Linked DNA regions of Saccharomyces cerevisiae S288C. Changing the gene in region 1 together with any one later gene gives a genetic interaction. Each region holds a gene or a part of one and is shown on either strand. Other genes may lie near its edges.

Region 1 (8,158 bases):
ATGTCGAGCATTACGATCTCGAACTTGCAATCCCCTCTACAACTGGGTTCATATGACGATACTTTGAAAGAAGCGCTAATTTATAGTTCTGTCCATGCAATCATCAAAGAAGTGATATTTAACGAAGAATATTCTGGAATAGTACAATTAGTCGAAGATATTTCTGCGTTTGGAAAACTTTTCACGGATTCAAAGAACAGTGAATGTACAGGAAAGTCTAAAAGCAAGAGAGGCTCCTTTTTGCAGAGAAGTGTCAGAGTACTTAATTCTTCCAGGTTCGTTTACAAGCAGAGTTTATCCGCTAATTTTTCTCTCAAGATAGATTCCATGAAGTTAAAAGTATCAGAAATTATAGGGCCGCAATTTGGTTCTGTGGAAGCATTACTATCAAATAATTTCTTTGCGATTACGGATGACTCTCAAATTGTATATTTTACAAAGAACTTAAAGGTAGAAAGAAAGACACCGTCATTATTAGAGCCACAAGAAATCATGTCAGTAGTTTTGAATAAAGCAGTTAACGAACCTGTACTATATGTTCATAGAAGGGCGAATGGAAAGTTAAAAGTCATTTTTAACAACATTCGCATACATTACTATGCAAGGTGGTTAGAAATACTAAAGAAAAACATCGGCCCGGATAATGCCAGTTCAAAAGATGAACCTGTTTCACAAAAGCTTAGTAAAAAACAACCGACTTCAGGATTTCCCTGGGAACTCAAATGTCTGGACTGCTCTCTAATTCTGCACCCTTTCAGATTAAAAAGTGTAATGGTCATTGTACTTGACAATCTAACAACTGGTGGAAGTTCATTTATTCCGCAGGCAAAGCTTCTTTCAAAGGCGAATACACTCTTCCTAATAGATGACTATCAGAATTTCAAAATTCAAAAAGATAAGAACTGGCCTAGTTTGATAAATTTTTATGCTGGTCAAGGTTTCTCTGCAATCGGTAAAATAGATACTTTGAATTTTTTAATAAACAAATCCGATGGTGCCCTTTTATTGGATTGTAAAATAGAACAAGTTGGTCTTTCATTATGCGCGGATTCTTTTCAAACTTTTTGTCAGCTTTGTATTGATTTAAAATATCCTCAGACGTTTCCTGATGAGGAAAAATTTAGAACGCAGTTGAAAAATCCTATCGATGTATTCAAAGACATCGATTGTGATCTTTTCAATTCTGCCTTCATCCGGGAGAACAATCATCAAAATGATTACGACTCAGTGCATTTGGTAGACAGTTTTCTCGACAAAACTCACGAGTTCAACAATGGTGCCAGAAGTAAACTATCCTCTCAAGGTTCATATGAAATGGACAGTTCCTCTGGAACTGCCACAGGTGGTATTTTACTTCCCCATGAGAGTTATCTAGACTCTGCTCAGCCAAAAGAAGAAGATACTCCACCAATCGCCTCAAAAGAGCAAGAAAGGGATGTGGATATAAGGGGTAGTATAGATGTCGAAAAAGTTGTTATAAAACTATTCGATGGGTATGATTGGAAATATACGCGGAAATTTATCGCTAATACTGTTGAAAAACTGGATAAAGAGCTCAGTAAAGCGGAAGCAAGCAGTTCGAAATCAAATGTACCCCAATCAGAGGCAAATATTTTTGACTCTATTTATATATCTGCTAACAAAAACAATGTCACAGATTTGAGAAGAAATCTTGATGGTGAGATCCAGGGGGTTCAGAATTCCTTCTCTGATGTCTCTAAAGTTAATTTGCGACCTTCTAAGCATTACAAAGCCCTGATTCAATTGAACAAAGTACATGTCAATTTGAAGAATTATCGAGTAGATGAACCCGATGAGTCTAACTCTGATAATTCCACAGATGTTTTGAACCGATGTGTAGTTTCCATTTACGAATTTGAAATTATCGATAATGTTCCCACGTCCACCTGGAATAAATTTGTAACTTTGCTAAAGCACGAACCGTGGCCACACAGTTCTCCGATGTTTCTTCTGGACCTGGAATTTATCCGGCCGATCGACTTTTTGCAAGCAGTGGAATTAGTCATGCAATTAAATGTTGCGCCTTTACGCCTTCACGTGGATCAAGACACTTTAGAGTTTCTAATAAGGTTCTTAGGGTTCAAAGATAAAAGATTTGAATTAATTGATGAGTATCCAGATATTGTATTTATTCAAAAATTTAGCACTAATTCAATTAAGTTAAGATTAGATTATAAGCCGAAAAAAGTTGATTATGCGGGTTTAAGATCGGGCCAAACTTCTGAATTGATGAATTTTTTTACCCTTGATGGATCCAAGATTATTTTGAAAAGCGTAGTCCTGTATGGATTAAATGGATTCGATGAATTAAATAATAAACTGAAAGCCATTTGGACGCCGGATATTACCAAAAAGCAGCTGCCTGGCGTTTTGGAAGGACTGGCTCCTGTCAGATCGTTTATGGCGATTGGGTCAGGGGTGAAGACCCTAGTCACAGTACTAATGTCAGAATACAGGCAAGAAGGGCATTTGGGAAGGAGTCTGAAAAAGGGTGGCAATGTCTTCTTGAAAACGACAACGGGAGATTTTGTGAAATTGGGAGTTAAATTAACTTCAGGGACACAGGCGATATTGGAGAACACCGAGGAACTATTCGGTGGTGTTGGTTCCAATGGCAGGGTGTACGATGCATCGAAATTTGGCTCCGCTGATGGTGCAGACAGTGATACTGCAGCTGTATTAGACTTGGATACTTTATTCGAGGAGGATCAGTTAGTTGGTAGTAAATATTCCAGGATAAGAGATCATGAGCCCACGGCAGTAGTCATCGATATGTCTTCACCGGGAGATCACAACGAACCCACAATAGTGAGTCTGTACGCAGATCAGCCCCTCGACCTGCCCACGGGTTTGAAGGAGGCGTATAGTTCATTAGAAAAGCATATGCATATTGCGTACGATGCGGTATGGAGGGCAAAGGGACAGATGAAGGATGATAAACGGGGAGGGCCGAGCGCCGCAGCAGTTTATGTTGCTAGAGCTGCACCTGTGGCAATTATTCGGCCGTTAATTGGGGCCACTGAGGCAGTGTCTAAGACTTTACAGGGAATAGCTAATCAAGTGGATAAGACGCATAACGAGCAAATCAATGATAAGTACAAGTCCAATCGGACTGATTCGTAAAAATTTTTGCAGACATTTTTGATATATATTCAATTCATATTTTATCTCTTTTTTTTTTTTTTTTTTCAGACGTGGAATGGTGGGAAAGCCAAAATGTCACTGACCGCGGCTAAAAGTTAAAAAATACATGAGACGACATTCTTTTATGTATATATATTTACACATGTATACAAACAAATACACACGCAAGTAGAGAGGAGTTGGTGGGGGGAAGATGCCATTATAGAGGAGAAAAGAACAAAGAGAGTGAGCTTGCAAGATAAAATCACTCGAAAAAAAAAATTTCAGTGACTTAGCCGATAAATGAATGTGCTTGCATTTTTCTAATTATCCTTCGTATCTTCTGGCTTAGTCACGGGCCAAGCGTAAGGGTGCTTTTCGGGCATAACATACTTGTGTTTTTGCATATATTCCTTCAATCCCTTTGGACCTCTTGATCCGTAGGGGTAAATTTCCGGTGTTGGACCGTCCGGACGCTCTATGTGCTTCAGTAATGGGGTGAATATGCCCCAACTGATATCCAATTCGTCATCTCTGACAAAGTTGGAATGGTCACCCAGTAGGGCGTCTCTTATCAACACCTCGTAAGCCTCTGGAATCCAAAAGTCTTGGTACCTGCTTGCGTAAGTTAGATTCAGATCTGTGACTTGGGTAGCATTTGACAGACCAGGGGTCTTAGCATTAAACTTTAGGTACACAGCGGCATCGGGCTGCACTCTGATGACCAGTTCGTTATTTGGAATGTCTTTGAAGACACCCGATGCGACCGCTTTGTACTGCAGTCTGATCTCCACCTTGGACTCATTCAAAGCCTTACCGGCACGCATCATGATGGGGACGCCCTCCCAACGCTCGTTTTCGATGTTGAAAGTCATTGCTGCAAAAGTGACACATTTAGAGTCCTTGTCTACAGTGTCATCATCCACGTAGGCGGGCTTAGACCCGTCCTCAGATTTACCGTACTGGCCCAAGAGGACGTCGTCCGTGTCGATGGGGGCCACGGCCTTTAGAACCTTAACCTTTTCGTCACGAATAGATTCCGGGTCAAAAGACACCGGTCTTTCCATAGTCAAGAGAGTCATGATTTGTAACAGATGGTTCTGCATCACGTCTCTGATTATGCCTATAGAGTCGAAATAGCCGCCACGGCCTTCGGTGCCGAACCTCTCTTTAAACGAAATCTGAACGCTTTGAATGTTGTCTCTATTCCACGAGGCATTCAAAAACTGGTTACCGAACCTCAAGACTAAAAGATTCTTGACCAACTCTTTACCCAAGTAATGGTCAATTCTGTACAACTCTTCTTCTTTAAAGAGGGGCCCCAGGTTTTTTTGCAGCTCCCTGGCAGAGGCCAGGTCGTGGCCGAAAGGTTTCTCTACGATTACACGGGTGATGCCATTCTCTGCGTACACACGACTCTTGATCTGCTTGGCCACCGTCAAAAAAACGCTTGGCGGCAAGGCCAGATAGAAGAGACGGTGTGGGACATCGACGTTGGCACTTTTCTCGAATTTCTCGATCTGCGTTCTTAATTCGTCGAAGCCTTCATCTGTGTCGTAATTTCCCGAAATGTAGCTGACCATCTTGAAGAACTGTTCGACCTTAGAGTCATCGGCTTCACCGTGAGGTTTTTTCAAGTGGGGTAGGACACGGGACTTCAGGTCCTCCTCCATGGACAATTTGGACCGGGCATAACCGAAGATCTTGGTAGATGGATCAAGGTAACCTTCTCTGAAAAGCCCAAATAAGGCGGGAAAAGTCTTCTTCTTTGCCAGATCACCTGACGCACCAAAGACAGATATGACGGTATTTTTTTCGAATTTGACGGGGCCTTCACTCATCTTGCCTTATGTGGTTTTCTATTCTATTGGATTTACTCTTTCTGTCTATACAGCCAATTGGAGAGGGGGAAGGGGGAGAAGGAGGGGTGAGTGGAGAAAAGGGAGAGAGGGGCAGGAGGAAGCCACTTTAGGTGTTATGTGTCGGTATATAGATGAACCCACAGTTTGCTTATATATGGGATAGCCTTGGCGAGTTTTCCGTACATTGAAGAATTCGCCACCCTTAGAAAAGGGGCCACCACACCTTGAGCCAAAAATCCCACATTAATAATATTCCATTTTTTTTTTAGTCATTTTTTTTTTTTTCGTCTCTCTTCCTCCTCCGGCCGAGCCGAAACCGGGCTTTTAGCACCGTTGGAAGCTTGTATCTCCGCGTAAGACCGCCGGAGTATGCATCTTATAGCGGTTTTTCCAGTTCTTTTCCACTATTACGTGGTGCTTCCAGTAGCGCTACTATTATTGTTGTTCTTGCTATTATTTAAATGTCACTATGTACTTGATACACACAGTTTGTGGTGATTTCACGCTTATGTACACGGGTGCAAAACTACACCTTACTTACCAGGTGCTCCCAACAGAGACGAGATCCTTTTCGACGGCCTGCTTGACGGGCGCGAAGACGTACTCTAGCGAAAGCGGGCGGGCTGCCGCCTCTTCTAGCTTGGGTCCCAGGGTTAGAGGATCTACCATTGCTAGCTCCTCTCCGTGACGCTTATTCAGTGTCTGAACCAACTGCTTCCGCTTGAGACTGTTTTGCTCGCCATTGAGTAGGCCACCACCGTTCATGCATGCACCCGGACACGCGTTTACCTCGATGTAGTCCGAGTGGTAGGGATCGGCCGTGGCGGCCGTGGCGGCCGCCATCTCGCGTGAGTTCGCCTTTGGACCTGTTCGTCTCTTCCGCAGAGCGGTGATGTTCCTCTTGCGCTCTGACCCGGAGCCCGAGGTCAGTTTACGCACCAGATTTTGGATGTTTCTAAACCCGGAAAGCTCGCTGGCGGCGGCTATTATGCGATCATCGTGCAGCAATCGGTACTCGACAATGTCGCTGTTTCTACCCTCCAGAACTATCATCTGACTTCCTGGGTGTAGTCGTTGGACAGCCGTTACGTACTGGTAGGCATAGCCACCACAAGTGCCTCCCAGATTCGACGCCCAGTGGACTCGCGGGTCCCATCCCGGCGGTGATAGCCGCCCATATAAACTTGTGTCCTCAGTAAGAAACGACTTGAAGTCTAAATTCAACTCTTGTAACATTGTCACTATTTCACGTGGCGTAATGACACAGTCAATCCCATCGTCAAGCGATTCTGGCCTTGACGCTTCTAGTTTCTTGTCAAAACATGGCATCAGCGACAGATGGTAAAAGGACTCACGCGCGATAGCGAGACTCTCGAACGTAGCTCTGATCAACGAGCCCGTAATTTGCTGAGGCGACTTGACATTGAGCAGCATAGGCACCAACTGCGGTTTGGTCTTTTCCGTGTATATAAGAAATCCCGGACACACAGCAGATAATAGAGGCTTGCGGTCCGCACCGGTATTTTCTTTTTGTTTCTTATGCGCAATGATCTTCTCTACGGTTTTGCTAATCGATATGATTCTGCCCATCTCCGTTCCAACCATATACTTGCACTGGAAATGCTTTTGGAAAAAATTCATCAAACACAAATCGGCCGCCTCCAATGTTAAGCCGTAGTACTGCGCAAGAGATAGTCTGCATTGTGGCGAGACACTCACAACGAGGAATTTGTCTTGCTGCTGCGAAAGCTTCCCCCAGTTTTTCAGGAAAACCGAGTGACTTTGGCTACTCAACAAGATTTCTTCACTAGACGTTATACAACCAGAACACGCGAGGCAGTCTGATAGGGTAATAGAGACCTTCTCCAGTTGGTCTGGTTCCGTGCTCACCTCGTATTCTCCGTTCATGTTAACGTTATCCTTCTTGCCCCCGCTCACCTGGGTAGGTTTGACGCACGCAAGGGCGGGACTGATAAAATCGTTTAGGTCAGACTCGGACAGTAGAGCACTCATGCTTTCTTGTACACTTATCTTGTCACTCAGGAAAAGGAAGCTCCCTCTCTTATCTTTCCAGCTGACAAGACAAGTTTCTTAGTCATCACCATAAAACGCTTTTATCATTTTTTTCTTCATGCGATGAGCAGGGAAAACTGGTAAAAAAAGAAAATAGGAAGTGGAAAAGAAAAAACTAGCGGAAAGGCAGGCAATATGCTTTACAAACAGGCAAATTTTGTCTCTTAATCCTGTGAAGAGGCATCGTATATTCAGTGCTTTTTGAAATTTAGAAAATAGTCGCTTTATTGATTATGCTACATATGTTATTTTGCTTTAGTATGTGTCAAATAGCATGCAATCGCCGGGTAGTGAGTGACACATCCTTTTTTCCCCTCCCACCAGAAAGTCACCTGCTCTCTTAATCAATGGGGTTGCATGTGGTAATCAATTGATAACGCCGGCTGACAAGTCGCCGACGGGCACCCATAAATAAACGATAAATAGCCCTTGCTCTTTTGTTACATGCTTCCTACTTCTGTTTCCCGGTCCTTGTATCTCAAGACGTTTAGAAGCCACCTTTTACGAGCACCACAAATTGTTTTAAAAAGAATGTCCTCTTCCATCGATATCAGTAAGATCAACTCTTGGAACAAAGAGTTTCAATCCGACTTAACCCATCAATTGGCAACCACTGTCCTTAAGAATTATAATGCCGATGATGCACTGTTGAACAAGACTAGACTGCAAAAGCAAGATAACAGGGTTTTCAACACTGTTGTCTCTACTGATTCCACTCCAGTCACCAACCAAAAAAGCTCTGGTAGATGTTGGTTGTTTGCCGCTACCAATCAACTGCGCTTGAATGTTCTTTCTGAATTGAACTTAAAAGAATTCGAACTGTCCCAAGCTTACTTGTTCTTTTACGATAAGTTGGAAAAGGCCAACTATTTCTTGGACCAAATCGTCTCCTCGGCTGATCAAGACATCGACTCACGTCTCGTGCAATACTTGTTAGCAGCTCCAACAGAAGACGGTGGCCAATACAGCATGTTTTTGAACCTAGTCAAGAAGTATGGCCTTATCCCCAAAGATTTATACGGGGATCTACCTTATTCTACTACTGCGTCCAGAAAATGGAATTCTCTGTTGACTACTAA
Region 2 (7,717 bases), on another chromosome or scaffold:
TACCCATTCACTAGGATCAATGATCTCATCGTCTTCGTCTTCGTCTTCACTTTCTTTTTGTTTCTTTTGATCGTATGACTTATTCCTCTCCTCACTTGCTGTTGATCCTGTTTTCTCCACGGATCCTTCTAGCCAATTGACCCATTTGACAGGGAATCCTTGTGATCTTGTTATGGTGGTAATATCGTTAGTTATGTCTTTCAATACAAGGGTGAAATTGAAATTGCCTGGCGTATTGGAGTCGGTCACTTGAAAGTCACCGTCGGCATCTTTTTGTTTTTGCGGAATGGCAATTGGTAAGATGGATATGAATAAATCACTGATTTTATTGCTGTTACTGCTAATAGAACTCCTATCGTCATCTGGAGTGGCATCAGCCTCTTTCTGTTGTTTCTGGTATTCCTCATGTGCAGTATTGAAGAGTTTGACTGCATTTTCCAGGTTTGCAAATGCCAGTTTCTCACCGTCTGTTACCTTGCCGTCGAATAGATTAAACTGTAATTTTTTTTTAGAGTTGCCTAACTCACCGTCTGCAACTGAAGGCTTTTTTTCCACAGGTGTAATTCCATTATTGTTAGGATGGCCCCATTCATCTACAAATATTCTGATTCCTCCCTCAACTTGTGAGCTTAGAACTTGATCAAACTTGCTTTCAATATTGTATTGTAATGAGGGATAGTTAACCAAATCATGGACTAGATGAATTCGCAGCACCTCTTCAGTCTCACCAACAACGATTTTCTGTAAGTTTCTGGCTATTTCAGTAATCGTGCTCGTGTTTATCTTTGAAGTCAAATCAAGCTGTTCTTGGGCAAGTCGGTTTTTGATCTGGGATGCTTGTTCTGCAGTTTTATTCCAAATACTCGATACCTTTGCGGATCCAGAGGAGGACCACCAGTTTGAAATAGAAGCAATTGGGTCATGCAATGGGGTCTCCTCCTCCTCCTCTTCTTCTTCTTCTTCTTCCTCCTCTTCTTCTTCTTTCTCCTGCTGCTGTGGTTCCTTTTCCTTTCCGTGAGCGTCCTGCTCGGAATTTTTGTTTTCTTTTGATTCTTCTACTTTTTCGTCTTGTGCTTTATTATTAACTGATTCACTGGGAGCCTTCTTTTCAACCCCTTTCTTGTCAGTTAAGCTTAAGTTACTCTTCTCCAACTCTTCTAAGAATTCAAAGATATCATCGTCACCTTTCTTTCCATCATTCCCGGTCTTGCCCGCCACAGAATTAGAACCTCCCTTAACGCCTTCTTGGCTACCCTTTACGTCAGTATTAACCATTTTCCCGCCATTCTTTGCTTCTGGCAAAGAATCTAAAAATTCAAATACGTCTTCAGCCTCAGAGTTCTTATTTTCAGACATTTTGCCCTGGTAGTATGTATGTTTTTAATCGATTGAGTCTAGTTAACCTGTCCCTTGTTCTATTCTTCACCGTCTCGTCCAACTTCCATCAAAGAACCAGAAACCAGAAAATCGCCGGTTTCTTCCACGCGTCAATCCGTTTGGAATGATCTCATCGCAAAATTTTTTTTCGCTAAAATTTTCATAGAGAGTATCAATATTAATATATGGTTATAACTTATGGCGGCATTAGTCGATGAGGTGCTTGCCGAAGAGACTAGCACAGCCAACCCATAATGCCTTCTAAAAACTCCATCAACAGACCTAAGCTGACTTCAAATTTGCACCACAAGGTGCACTCTTTAAATAAGAAAAGAGCTCAAAGAGAAAGAGCTGGTCTCTTGAAGCCAGCTAGATCCAGCGTAAATTCGAAATCTGGGGAAATAAAATCAGTAGCGTTGGACCTATACTTCCAAAACAAGAAGAACGAAAGTCAGAATTCCACTGCTGTGACATTACAAAATGCTTCATCTTCTCCGGCCTCCATCACCACGAGGACACTTTCCAAAAAGAGAGCTAAGAAAATCGAGAGAAACTTAAAATATGCTACACAGAGAAAATTATTGGTTGACGCAAGCGCTAAGCTAGAAGACGAAATGGATATTGATCTAGATGGCGGTAAGAAAGTGAAAGAGAATGAAAAGAAGAGTTCTTTGACTTTGGTTAAGGAAGCCTTATGGAGTGTCATTGACGATACTGCATCCCAGGGATTGATCATCGAAAACGGACAAGGCACCACCCTGGGCGGCCCATTTTTCCCATGAGTTAGGCACTTACGTATCTTGTATAGTAGGAATGGCTCGGTTTATGTATATTAGGAGATCAAAACGAGAAAAAAATACCATATCGTATAGTATAGAGAGTATAAATATAAGAAATGCCGCATATGTACAACTAATCTAGCAAATCTCTAGAACGCAATTCCTTCGAGACTTCTTCTTTCATGAAGGAGATAACATCGTGCGGGTCAGCTGCAGTGAAAACACTGGTACCAGCGACAATAACGTTGGCACCGGCTTTGGCGGCTTTCGGGATGGTCTCCTTGCCCAAACCACCATCGACTTGGATATTCAAATGGGGGAACTTGGCTCTCAAAGTTTCCACTTTTGGCATCATGTCTTCCATGAATTTTTGGCCTCCAAACCCAGGTTCCACAGTCATAACAAGAGCCATATCCAAATGAGGAGCTAGTTCAAATAAAACGTCAACAGAAGTACCAGGTTTGATGGCGCATGCAGCTTTGATGCCCTTAGACTTAATCAACTTAACTAAATGCAAAGGGTCTTGTGTGGCCTCGTAGTGGAACGTAAATTGGTCAGCACCACATTTAGCAAAATCGTCGACCCATTTTTCAGGATTTTCAACCATCATGTGACAATCGAAGAACGCAGTGGGCTTCTTTTCTGTGTTGCTAGCATCGCCAGGGCGTGGCACAGAACGACGTAGGGAGGTAACAATTGGTTGGCCCAGAGTAATGTTTGGAACAAAATGGCCGTCCATGACATCGATATGTAACCAATCTGCGCCGGCGTTGATGACCTTATGACATTCGCAACCCAAGTTGGCGAAGTCAGAAGCAAGGATACTGGGAGCTATAATTGGTTTGACCATTTTTTCTTGTGTGTTTACCTCGCTCTTGGAATTAGCAAATGGCCTTCTTGCATGAAATTGTATCGAGTTTGCTTTATTTTTCTTTTTACGGGCGGATTCTTTCTATTCTGGCTTTCCTATAACAGAGATCATGAAAGAAGTTCCAGCTTACGGATCAAGAAAGTACCTATACATATACAAAAATCTGATTACTTTCCCAGCTCGACTTGGATAGCTGTTCTTGTTTTCTCTTGGCGACACATTTTTTGTTTCTGAAGCCACGTCCTGCTTTATAAGAGGACATTTAAAGTTGCAGGACTTGAATGCAATTACCGGAAGAAGCAACCAACCGGCATGGTTCAGCATACAATACACATTTGATTAGAAAAGCAGAGAATAAATAGACATGATACCTCTCTTTTTATCCTCTGCAGCGTATTATTGTTTATTCCACGCAGGCATCGGTCGTTGGCTGTTGTTATGTCTCAGATAAGCGCGTTTGTTATGCGAAAAAAAAAAACTTTACAGAGGCTTTGTTTATATATAGAAAGACCACGAAAAAAACAGTGATGGCTTCATGCTTTTCAGTTTCATTATTGGCACGAGTAGCAGTCGTTGAGCCCATCAGAGTGCAACTTTGGTTAAATGTCGTAAATTGTATGATTGAATCATCCATGCACCAATGTCCTCCACGGGATCGCCACTTTTTTTCTTCATCACGCCCCATTTTGTTGATCCGACGTTCTGTATCAACTGTATACAGATTCGTTGCTTCTCGCACCACACAGGTTTTACGTGCGGCCAAGACCGTTGTCAAGTGGTTCATTATTGTCGACCCACTGATAAATTCTATTCTAATCAATTATCTCATTGATAGGCTCTGCACTCTTGGGCATGCTGTATTGCGAGTGAAAAAGCGCAAGACCGAGGAGAGACAACCCTGTTCTCCCATTATACAACACACACACGTTAAGAGACGCAAACGGCCTCGTCTGAGGATCGTAGCCATCAAGAGGAAGCGGAGGCGTCGAAGACCACATCGCATCGAGCGTCCACTCTCAAATATGTACCCAATAATGGAAATCCAGATGGTGGCTGTTCCACTTGCTCTTCCCAGTCCAACTGCACTGGTGCATTATCAGCAGCAGCAACAGCAGCTCCCGCAACATCATCCCTGGTACGACCTCTCGCTTTCTGAAGAAGCCCTCTCGACCTGCTGTTGTAGTTGACCTATAACTGAAAATTCACACCCGCATTACCCAGCGCGCCCGCACGTGCTCTTTATGGAAACTATAATGAATAACGACCAAAGAACATCTTTTTTTCTCTCTCACACAAATAAAGCTTTTCATGTTTATAGATATATAGCACATACTTTTACTAAGTTTTCTAGATTGATTACGACTCTTCCAGTTGCACATTTTTTCATAGCGAAAGTACAAGAGTAGGAAGAGTGGCACAATGGCGGTTCAACAAAGAAAGAAGAAAGAGGGTAGAAAGTCCGATAAAAATGCCCCATCGGTCCCACAAGTAGATGCATCATTAGACAAACCACTTGATATTGATGCTCCTCCTACTATTTACAGTGTTAATTTGAAACCAGAATATGGTACAGCTGCATTGAATTTGTCCGCGGATTTCATCAGACAAGAACAGGCATTGGCTAATAAGTATTTGTTCTTCCATCCCGTCATCCTTGTTGTTCTAACCATTGGGCTGCTTATTTACTTGACGCCAAGAATTGTCTTTCCGATAAGGAATACAGGATCCGTTGCTGGATGGTTCTACCAGCTGGCTCGTATTAATAAGAAGGTCGTCCTCAGCGGTTTAGTGTTCACCGCAATTGGTGCATCTTTCTTGTTCACCCTCCTCTCACGTGTATCTGACTCGTATTTCAAGTCGAAGATCAACCAACTTGTTGGTTCTAAAGGTGAGAAAGTTTTCGGCATCAATTTGAATGATTTGGTGGCAAGACATGAAACAAAGGATCCAGTGGTGAACAATACGCATATCATCGTTTATAGAGAAACGCCCATTGCATTGATTTCGTTAGCCCCTAACATGACATTAAGTACTGATGAAAATTTAGTCATGAGTGTTACTACTGTGGGTTGTCGTCGTGTATATGTAAAAAGTGGCATTATCGAAGATTTGATTGATTGGGCTATGCTACACTCCAAAAATATTAGAAGCAGCGGCAAATACGGGGAGACCATGAAACTCTTGATTGATGTCTACTCATTCGATAGCACGCTTAAGGAAATTTTGAAGAAAAAAGGGTTCACTTATATTCAAAGCATTAGAGTCTCTGAAAATCGACTACTAGGCGGTTTGTTCGGTGTGAAGAAGGAATTATGGGGTTTGCAATTCCATTTTAAAGCCGAACACAAGGACTAGGATACTGTTATTTTTATAGCCAAAAAATGAAAAAAAACAGCATGGCATCTTGTTAGTTCTGTTGCAACTCGCAGGAAGTAACAAAATAAACACTATAATATTTCCATATATTTATATATATGTATACAAACACCTTGTTAACAAAAAAAAAATAAACGAACTAAAGAAAACCGTAATGCAGAGTACACCTTGAAGAGAGAGAAAAGAAAATCTTTGAATCCATAGCATAATAGCGATCAACGAAACTTTTTAAGAAGTAAAATGAACTGAAAGGAGAAAAATATAACGGAATCCCAATGTATAATAATAAATAGAGAGCGGAAGAAAAAGAATAATAAGGGGAATTGAGGGTATCAAAATACAAGACATTCTTTTACCGAAAAGAAGAATGACTTAATAGAAAACAAATTCAGCAGATCCAGATAAAACAGAAACTGTGCAACCATCGGAACCATCTCCGGTGAAAGAGCCATCTTCATACGCACAGCTGCCCTGAACGTTAGCGCCATCGGATGCAACTATTTTAACGTTAAAGTTGGCAGCTTGGTTACTGTTGGGGTTTGGAATCAACGACAAGTATGTTTCTCCATTAGTGGAACCAGCACCTAACACTAGTGGAGCCCAGTTGCCGACATCCGAACCAGAAGTACCCCAAATGCACCCATCTTCTGCAGATACACCGGCGTTGTTAATATAGTACTGAGCAGAAGTCTTTTTACCCTGCCATTGATAATAAGTGTCTTCATCAACGACTGAAATTGGTTGTGAATCTCCACCATCAACCACTGTGGGAATCACCATGTTTTCTGATCCTGGGTAATCCGTCCTACATAGAGCAATGGAGTCAGACTTTTTGTTAATGGCCTTAGCAGATGTTTCATCCGTAGAACATAAATCGCTGGTATCAGTGTTGGTACGGTACAAGTAACCATTTTTACAGTAAAGACCACCAACAGATTTACCATCGCTTGGTTGGTCAGAAGGCCATTGAGTCTTTGACATTCCAGGTTCACATGCATAAGAACAGTAGTAGCCATCCTTACATTCGGACGAAGTGTTGGCATCCATGTCCATGACAGAGGCCCATCCACCAAATCCTAGCCAGTCCAAGGAAACTATACCGTTTACAGAAGGGAAGTCCGAACATTTGACAGTACCATCTTGGAATCCGCCATCACGCTTCTGTTCAGAGGTATCCTTCTCAGATGAGGACAATGTAGTGGTAGTAGCAGCAGATTCTACAGTACTAGTAGCGGCATTGGAATCTATGTATTGAGTGACAGTGACAACCGCTGGTTTTTCATCTTTGTGATGATCTTCATGGTGACTGTCCGCTGGAGCAGGTGCAGGGGCAGAAAATGCGACAGAAGAAAGGGAAGACAATATTAAAGCTGCGGAAATTTTCATTATGTGTTAGAGAGAGACGAGTTAAGTATGTGCGACTATACTAGTATTATAATATTAAAGGAAAGTAAGGTACCGTCTATGAGGAGACTGTTAGTTGGATATCAGTAATGAGACGAAAAAGCTCGAAATGAATGGATATATTCTTTTTGCTACTGGCAACTGTTGAATATTTAATGTTAAAACAAACTAACTGAGGTATATTCGTATCTGTATGTACACATATACTATATACAGGAAAAGATAAGCAAGAGAGAGGATATCAACTACGAGAGCGATCGATTATATATCAAAAGCTGTCCGCTTTGCCACCCATAATCGGCGCTTAGTTTCGGAGTTCAATCATAATTCTACCACCTTACACTCAACTTACTCTTTAACTCCTATAGTATAATATCGCCACTGACCCCATATTAAAAAAATTTTTTTGCTCGATCTTCTATCCTCTTTAGGTTAATTGTCGCTGTTATTGTCTAGATTTTTTCTCGGAGATGGCGCATCTATTTGCCGTCAAAAGATCCTCTCATACCATATTAAGTAAATTGCCTCCATTTCTTTTTCCTCGGGCAGAGAAACTCGCAGGCAACTTGCTCTCGAAGTGGTCACGTGCGGGTCTAGGCCTGCATAATCGGCCCTCACAGAGGGATCCCGTTACCCATCTATGCTGAAGATTTATCATACTATTCCTCCGCTCGTTTCTTTTTTCAGTGAGGTGTGTCGTGAAAGAAAACCCACAATTAAACTTTCAACAACCGGGCGACTAGGAAGAGAGTAGTGGGCGCGGATGACGAAGGCTAAGGTCACTTCTTCGTTTCCTTTATTGGGGTTTCCGTGTAGCCTTCCCCTGAATAGTGTGGGACGTTTTATGAGAAGCCGTAAGAAATAGGCAAATTGAGTTATGACAAGTAGACATGATGCCGCAGCCTTGCCT
Region 3 (7,807 bases), on another chromosome or scaffold:
GAAGCTTTCCAGTCGCGACCTCTGTTTTGTTCGAACTTCTAGTTAACAAAAGAAAGACCATTCAATTGCTTTTTTAATATTCATTATTGACGATTTTTATTTCTAGGCGATTACCGGTATACTTTTCATTCTTTTGATAAGATAATAAATCCAATTACATTCGCTTATTTTAATTCAATTTAGACTATAACTTTCTCTTAACTCTAGGAGTTTCTTTCTTGAATCGAAGCATTTTTGACAATACCCAATATCCTCTTTCTACTTGAGAATTTTTTCGATTCTACATGAAGTATGATACAATCAGACGAAGATAATTTGGACTCTTCTGAAACGACAGCATCAACTTCATATAGTGGTACTTCCTCTGTATCATCCAGACTACAACTAAGAACATCCTTGTTTTTTGAAAATCTTAATGGAGCACATGGGAACCCCGATGCGGAGACAGAGATGGCTACTGTTGCCTATGAAACCACAAGTAGAGGTCAAGGATTTGCTGTATACATCAACAATGAAAGGTTTTCTCAAATAATGGGAGCATCCACAAGCTCTAGCTCTAGTAGCAACTCGTCCTCTATTACACAATTTCACGATACCCAAGATAATAATATACCAAGCAACACTACTGTAAGGCCAACTTCACTTCGACGAGACAACGAGGATACCGTACCGTTAAGGAACGTAACTCCTTCACAAAACGCGGCGGTACGGCCAGAAAGAGCAGTGAATTCACCATCTTCGCAGAGATTAAGTTGCGCACTGACAATATCAACTTCAGTTCTTATGGGAGAAGATGTTGAAGGAAGCCCTATAGAGCAAGAGCATAGTAGGGTCGTATCTTCATTATACTCATCTTTGGCGAATCGCGGGAACGACGAGTCAAAGAATGGAACACCTCCACGTCCTACCTCAATTGAACCTAATGAAACAACGGAACACTCATTTTTCTCATACCATTACGATGACACCTTAGAACCAGATGTTGAAGAGGCAGTGAGGCTAACGAAGAATAAAACTTCTAATGTTAATTTTATAAGCTCAACTGGCAGTAAAGGTGAAGGCGAGACCGAGGATGAAGTCATAGATCAATACGAACCTGTGAATGAATCAAAATTTATACCGCACAAACTAAAAATTCCAGAGAAGGCTGGATCAATAAAGTCGTCGACAAGTGATGATTCGCATTCGCCAGGTGCGCCAGGTACGTCGGCAAGGAAGATTAAAATTCCTCAGAGTCCATCGTTAATTGGTAACATATTGATTCCTTCACACAATAGTGACAGTAGTAACGAAAGTTCTCCTAAAGACCATATAGGGCATAATAATGAAGAAAAATTCAGTTCAAAATCTACGCGCAAGCCCTCCACATCCCTAGAAGAAGAAGGTCCACCAATTGGACTACCTTCAATTCCCGTATTAAGAAGTGTGTCCGGACCAAGCAAATGGACGAAGACACCTTTACGCTTAGAATCTGGAAATTCAACTAAGTCTGATCCATTTTCACGCTATGAAGGACACAAGACGCCCTCTCCATTGACCAAGATGAACAAGAAGAAAAATAAAACGTTGCCAGAACATGGACAACCCCTCGTGCTAGCTCCAATTAAATCTCAAAGCTCGGAGTCAGACACGGGACAGAACTCCATTATAGAAAAGCCAGCTCGAAGCATACGACGAAAGCAACAAGAAAAAACTGATAATAGGAAAGAAGACAGGCACGATGCTGAAAATATAGACCTGGAGGCGAGAATGCCAATTCAACATATCGATACCGCTTCCATTCATTCGTTTGATTCAGGTCAAAATGGATTCAGGGACGTTTACAGCATCGAAAACATCATTGTGATCCTCCTATGTTGTAGTATAGTGCCGCCATTATTTTTTATTATTGGCTGCAGCTCAAGAAGGAAATTAGTTTCAGACTATAGATTAATGAGGTTGCTTATGAATAAAGAACACCGAGCGGCTTTGCTGCAAGGATTCATATGGGACGTTGATTTAAGGTGGTTCCGGATGTTTTGTCTGATCTTAGGGGCTGCCGAAACAGTGATTGTGATGGCCGGTATTGCTATTGGATTTGGTGTGGGTATAACACGTGAATAAGAAACTGTATCATTCATCAAATAGGATAAAAAATAAAAAACTGTTCTGTCTCGTTAAAGTCATATATATAAATAGGGGATTTTCATTAATTTATATATATAGATATACTTGTGTACATGTACCCGTAAGTATCAAAAGAAACGTGCATAAGGACATGGCCTAAATTAATATTTCCGAGATACTTCCTTAAGCGGTAACTTTCTTTTCAATCAAGTCGAATAGAGTAACAATATCGGCAGAGAATTTTCTGATACCTTCGGACAATTTTTCAGTGGCCATAGCGTCTTCATTCAAGTCGAATCTGAATTTAGATTCGTCGCTGATGTAAGAAATCTTGTCGCCGGCTTCCTTCTTAGCGGAGACAGGGTCCAAAACTCTTGGGAAAGGTTCAGTACTGTTCATCAACTTGTCCAATAAAGCTGGAGAAATTGTTAGATAGTCAACACCAGCCAAGTTTTTGATTTCGTCAGTGCTTCTGAAAGAAGCACCCATAACAATAGTCTTGTAACCGTACTTCTTGTAGTAGTTGTAGATTTTCTTGACGGAAATAACACCTGGGTCGGCTTCACCCTTGTAATCTTTACCAGTGCTGGATTTGTACCAGTCTAGAATTCTACCAACAAATGGGGAAATCAAAGTAACTTGGGCCTCGGCACAGGCAACTGCTTGAACGAAGGAGAATAATAGAGTCAAATTACAGTGGATACCGTCCTTTTCTTCCAATTCTTTGGCAGCTTGAATACCTTCCCAAGTGGAAGCAATTTTAATAAGGACTCTTTCCTTGGAGACACCTTCTTGTTCAAACAATTTAATGATATGTCTAGCCTTTTCAATGGTAGCTTGAGTGTCAAAAGACAATCTAGCATCAACTTCGGTGGAGACTCTGCCTGGAACAATCTTTAAGATCTCCTTACCGAATTCGACTAACAATCTGTCCACAGCATTTTCGACTTGTTCTTCGGTGGTCTTACCATGCTTCTTACCGTATTCCACGGCAACATCGATCAACTTGGCGTAAGTTGGTTGCTTGGCAGCAGCCAAGATCAATGATGGGTTAGTTGTGGAGTCTTGAGGTTGAAACTTGGCAATAGAGCCGAAATCACCAGTGTCGGCAACAACGACAGTGCCGGAGGCTTTCAATTGTTCTAGAGAGTTGTTAGCAACCTTTTGTTTCTTTTGAGCTGGTTCAGACATTATGTACACGTATATGTGACGAGTTCGAGAAGTATTTTACTATCGTACTAAATTTTACCTGAAAAATTATATACTCGAGAAAGAGGAAGCCAAGAATTGAGAAAAAAGAAAAACCCGCGAGTAAGGAAATTAAATACAGGTGTACACATACACGCACACATATATATATATATATATATGTATATGTGTATATAGGAAGCGCGCGCATGTTAGTATATACGATTCGTTGGAAAGGGGCCGTCCACCAAACGTGACTTGACGAGTTGACAAATTGACCTCAATATGGCTCAGTCAGTAATTTTTAGTTCCGCTTTATTCCCGCCATCTTTCAGGCCACGAGGGTAGCTCATAACGCCGCGCTAATGCCGCTGCGTCACAGCAACCAGTAGCTCAGCCAAAACCGAAAGAGAAATCGTAGCTGTCCCGATGAGGACTTATACACTTGTCACCATCTAAATAAATTATTTATTCGCGTTTCGGTTCTTGTTTTCGATTTAATTAGATTGTTCATTGAATCATAATAAATATGTAAAAAATATATATATTTGAAGCTGCTTCAGAAAAACAGGGCTTCCTAGTGTACAGATGTATGTCGGATGAAAAAAAAAAAATCTTAAATGTGAAATTGGGTCAATTCAATTGACTATGACTTGATGTTGCAAAAATTCCAAGAGAAAAAGTTTCCAGCACTTGATATTATTTTCCTCTTTATTGGTTTTCTGGTCTCAACTTTCTGACTTCCTTACCAACCTTCCAGATTTCCATGTTTCTGATGGTGTCTAATTCCTTTTCTAGCTTTTCTCTGTAGTCAGGTTGAGAGTTGAATTCCAAAGATCTCTTGGTTTCGGTACCGTTCTTGGTAGATTCGTACAAGTCTTGGAAAACAGGCTTCAAAGCATTCTTGAAGATTGGGTACCAGTCCAAAGCACCTCTTCTGGCGGTGGTGGAACAAGCATCGTACATGTAATCCATACCGTACTTACCGATCAATGGGTATAGAGATTGGGTAGCTTCTTCGACGGTTTCGTTGAAAGCTTCAGATGGGGAGTGACCGTTTTCTCTCAAGACGTCGTATTGAGCCAAGAACATACCGTGGATACCACCCATTAAACAACCTCTTTCACCGTACAAGTCAGAGTTGACTTCTCTTTCGAAAGTGGTTTGGTAAACGTAACCGGAACCAATGGCAACGGCCAAAGCTTGGGCCTTTTCGTGAGCCTTACCGGTGACATCGTTCCAGACGGCGTAAGAAGAGTTAATACCACGACCTTCCTTGAACAAAGATCTGACAGTTCTACCGGAACCCTTTGGAGCAACCAAGATAACATCTAAGTCCTTTGGTGGTTCAACGTGAGTCAAGTCCTTGAAGACTGGGGAGAAACCGTGGGAGAAGTACAAAGTCTTACCCTTGGTCAACAATGGCTTGATAGCAGGCCAGGTTTCTGATTGAGCGGCATCGGACAACAAGTTCATAACGTAACTACCTCTCTTGATAGCATCTTCAACAGTGAACAAGTTCTTGCCTGGAACCCAACCGTCTTCGATGGCAGCCTTCCAAGAAGCACCATCTTTACGGACACCAATGATAACGTTCAAACCGTTGTCTCTCAAGTTCAAACCTTGACCGTAACCTTGGGAACCGTAACCGATCAAAGCAAAAGTGTCGTTCTTGAAGTAGTCCAACAACTTTTCTCTTGGCCAGTCAGCTCTTTCGTAGACGGTTTCAACAGTACCACCGAAGTTGATTTGCTTCAAACCACGGGTAGTGATCATTGGCTTAACGAAACGGGCAGCTGGTCTGCTGTAAGCAGCAGCACGGGTGGCCAAAGCAAAGGTTCTCTTAGCAGTGATGACACGGGAGTTGCAGATCAATCTGGCGGCTTGAGTTCTCAACATGTTTTATTTTTTACTTATATTGCTGGTAGGGTAAAAAAATATAACTCCTAGGAATAGGTTGTCTATATGTTTTTGTCTTGCTTCTATAATTGTAACAAACAAGGAAAGGGAAAATACTGGGTGTAAAAGCCATTGAGTCAAGTTAGGTCATCCCTTTTATACAAAATTTTTCAATTTTTTTTCCAAGATTCTTGTACGATTAATTATTTTTTTTTTGCGTCCTACAGCGTGATGAAAATTTCGCCTGCTGCAAGATGAGCGGGAACGGGCGAAATGTGCACGCGCACAACTTACGAAACGCGGATGAGTCACTGACAGCCACCGCAGAGGTTCTGACTCCTACTGAGCTCTATTGGAGGTGGCAGAACCGGTACCGGAGGAGACCGCTATAACCGGTTTGAATTTATTGTCACAGTGTCACATCAGCGGCAACTCAGAAGTTTGACAGCAAGCAAGTTCATCATTCGAACTAGCCTTATTGTTTTAGTTCAGTGACAGCGAACTGCCGTACTCGATGCTTTATTTCTCACGGTAGAGCGGAAGAACAGATAGGGGCAGCGTGAGAAGAGTTAGAAAGTAAATTTTTATCACGTCTGAAGTATTCTTATTCATAGGAAATTTTGCAAGGTTTTTTAGCTCAATAACGGGCTAAGTTATATAAGGTGTTCACGCGATTTTCTTGTTATGTATACCTCTTCTCTGAGGAATGGTACTACTGTCCTGATGTAGGCTCCTTAAATTGGTGGGCAAGAATAACTTATCGATATTTTGTATATTGGTCTTGGAGTTCACCACGTAATGCCTGTTTAAGACCATCAGTTAACTCTAGTATTATTTGGTCTTGGCTACTGGCCGTTTGCTATTATTCAAGTCTTTTGTGCCTTCCCGTCGGGTAAGGGAGTTATTTAGGGATACAGAATCTAACGAAAACTAAATCTCAATGATTAACTCCATTTAATCCTTTTTTGAAAGGCAAAAGAGGTCCCTTGTTCACTTACAACGTTCTTAGCCAAATTCGCTTATCACTTACTACTTCACGATATACAGAAGTAAAAACATATAAAAAGATGTCTGTTTGTTTAGCCATCACAAAAGGTATCGCAGTTTCTTCTATAGGCCTCTACTCTGGTCTTTTGGCTTCCGCTTCATTGATTACATCTACTACTCCACTAGAGGTTTTAACAGGATCCCTTACTCCCACTTTAACCACTTTGAAAAATGCGGCCACCGCCTTGGGAGCGTTTGCGTCAACTTTCTTTTGTGTGAGCTTTTTCGGCGCTCCTCCCTCATTGAGACACCCCTACTTACTCTATGGTATGCTTGTAGCTCCATTATCTTCATTTGTTCTAGGATGTGCCTCCAACTATCAGTCTAGAAAGTACAGTAAAGTCTCTAAGGAATCTTCTTTATTTCCCGAAGACAGCAAACTCGCTGCTTCCGAACTGAGCGATTCTATTATTGATTTAGGTGAAGACAACCATGCTTCAGAAAATACACCTCGAGACGGGAAGCCTGCAGCAACCACAGTATCAAAGCCGGCAGAGGCATTGCACACCGGTCCCCCAATCCATACTAAAAATCTAATTGCAGCAACTGCTATTGCTATTGTTGGCTTTGTACAAGCCGTTATTGGCGTTTATGGGGAAGGACAATTTATCTAGTGTTTCTCGTTCACGTATTTATCTCTACAAGAATTTGTAGCTGCCTGAACTCGGCTCCTCTCTCTCTCCAAAAATAAAGTGTGTAGTAATTTGCAGTTTTTTTATATATTCCTACGAGTTTTCAAACGTTCAAAAGACAGTATGTTCAAAAATTGTGCATACACACACGTATGCACATATATACATAATAATACACTGTAATAAGCACATTTGTAGGTGCTCTTGCACTTGGTTTATTACTGTCACTGACTTTTCTCACCCGGCCGAGAGTCGTGCGAAAATTCGCATGTTAAAGTGAGAAAATAGAGAAAACAACACAGCTGAAAAAAGTATTGGTAACAGTTCAATACGTGATCAAATATACAGCACGTCGCGCAGAACCAGACGAAGCGGAGAATATTCTACATTGACAGTGCATGATGCCTGATGACAATTCAAACTCGTCCACTCAAAACTCAAGCGCATTATACAAGGACCTGAGGAAAGAATATGAATCTCTTTTCACTTTAAAGGAAGATTCTGGGTTAGAGATTTCACCAATATTCAATGTCCTTCCACCTAAAAAGGATTATCCTGACTACTACGCAGTGATCAAGAACCCTGTATCTTTCAATACTTTAAAAAAGCGTATTCCACATTATACAGATGCTCAACAGTTTATGAACGATGTTGTCCAGATTCCATGGAATGCCAAGACTTACAATACAAGAGATTCAGGAATTTATAAATACGCCTTAGTCCTTGAGAAATATTTAAAGGACACAATCTATCCAAATTTAAAAGAAAAATATCCTCAATTAGTGTATCCTGATTTGGGTCCTCTACCCGATGAACCAGGTTATGAAGAGTTTCAACAGAAATTAAGAGAAAAAGCTGAGGAAGTAGCGAGAGCTAATGCAGCCAGAGCCGAGTCGAGCTCTTCAATGAATTCAACAGAAGCAGCCAGAAGATTA

What was found. A genetic interaction does not mean that the proteins touch.
Region 2: mutations in ZWF1 (region 1) and RPE1 are lethal when combined (synthetic lethality), as found in Saccharomyces cerevisiae (4 studies listed by BioGRID, with this or other methods).
Region 3: mutations in ZWF1 (region 1) and TAL1 impair growth when combined (synthetic growth defect), as found in Saccharomyces cerevisiae (4 studies listed by BioGRID, with this or other methods).

Annotation. Positions count from the first base shown.
Region 1 is NC_001146.8:192,959-201,116, forward strand, and holds ZWF1 (glucose-6-phosphate dehydrogenase), read right to left. Parts: upstream 4,986-8,158; coding exon 3,468-4,985; downstream 1-3,467. Other genes in the region: ATG2 (Atg2p), read left to right, coding at 1-3,144; iron-sulfur cluster assembly protein NAR1, read right to left, coding at 5,544-7,019; LAP3 (bleomycin hydrolase), read left to right, coding at 7,611-8,158. UniProt on the Saccharomyces cerevisiae protein: Catalyzes the rate-limiting step of the oxidative pentose-phosphate pathway, which represents a route for the dissimilation of carbohydrates besides glycolysis.
Region 2 is NC_001142.9:188,085-195,801, forward strand, and holds RPE1 (ribulose-phosphate 3-epimerase RPE1), read right to left. Parts: upstream 3,007-7,717; coding exon 2,290-3,006; downstream 1-2,289. Other genes in the region: DUF5427 domain-containing protein MTC1, read right to left, coding at 1-1,356; ALB1 (Alb1p), read left to right, coding at 1,632-2,159; YJL118W (uncharacterized protein), read left to right, coding at 3,555-4,214; PHO86 (Pho86p), read left to right, coding at 4,447-5,382; SUN family protein NCA3, read right to left, coding at 5,776-6,789.
Region 3 is NC_001144.5:834,061-841,867, forward strand, and holds TAL1 (sedoheptulose-7-phosphate:D-glyceraldehyde-3-phosphate transaldolase TAL1), read right to left. Parts: upstream 3,298-7,807; coding exon 2,290-3,297; downstream 1-2,289. Other genes in the region: BUD8 (Bud8p), read left to right, coding at 292-2,103; ILV5 (ketol-acid reductoisomerase), read right to left, coding at 4,006-5,193; ATG33 (Atg33p), read left to right, coding at 6,261-6,854; RSC2 (Rsc2p), read left to right, coding at 7,271-7,807. UniProt on the Saccharomyces cerevisiae protein: Transaldolase is important for the balance of metabolites in the pentose-phosphate pathway.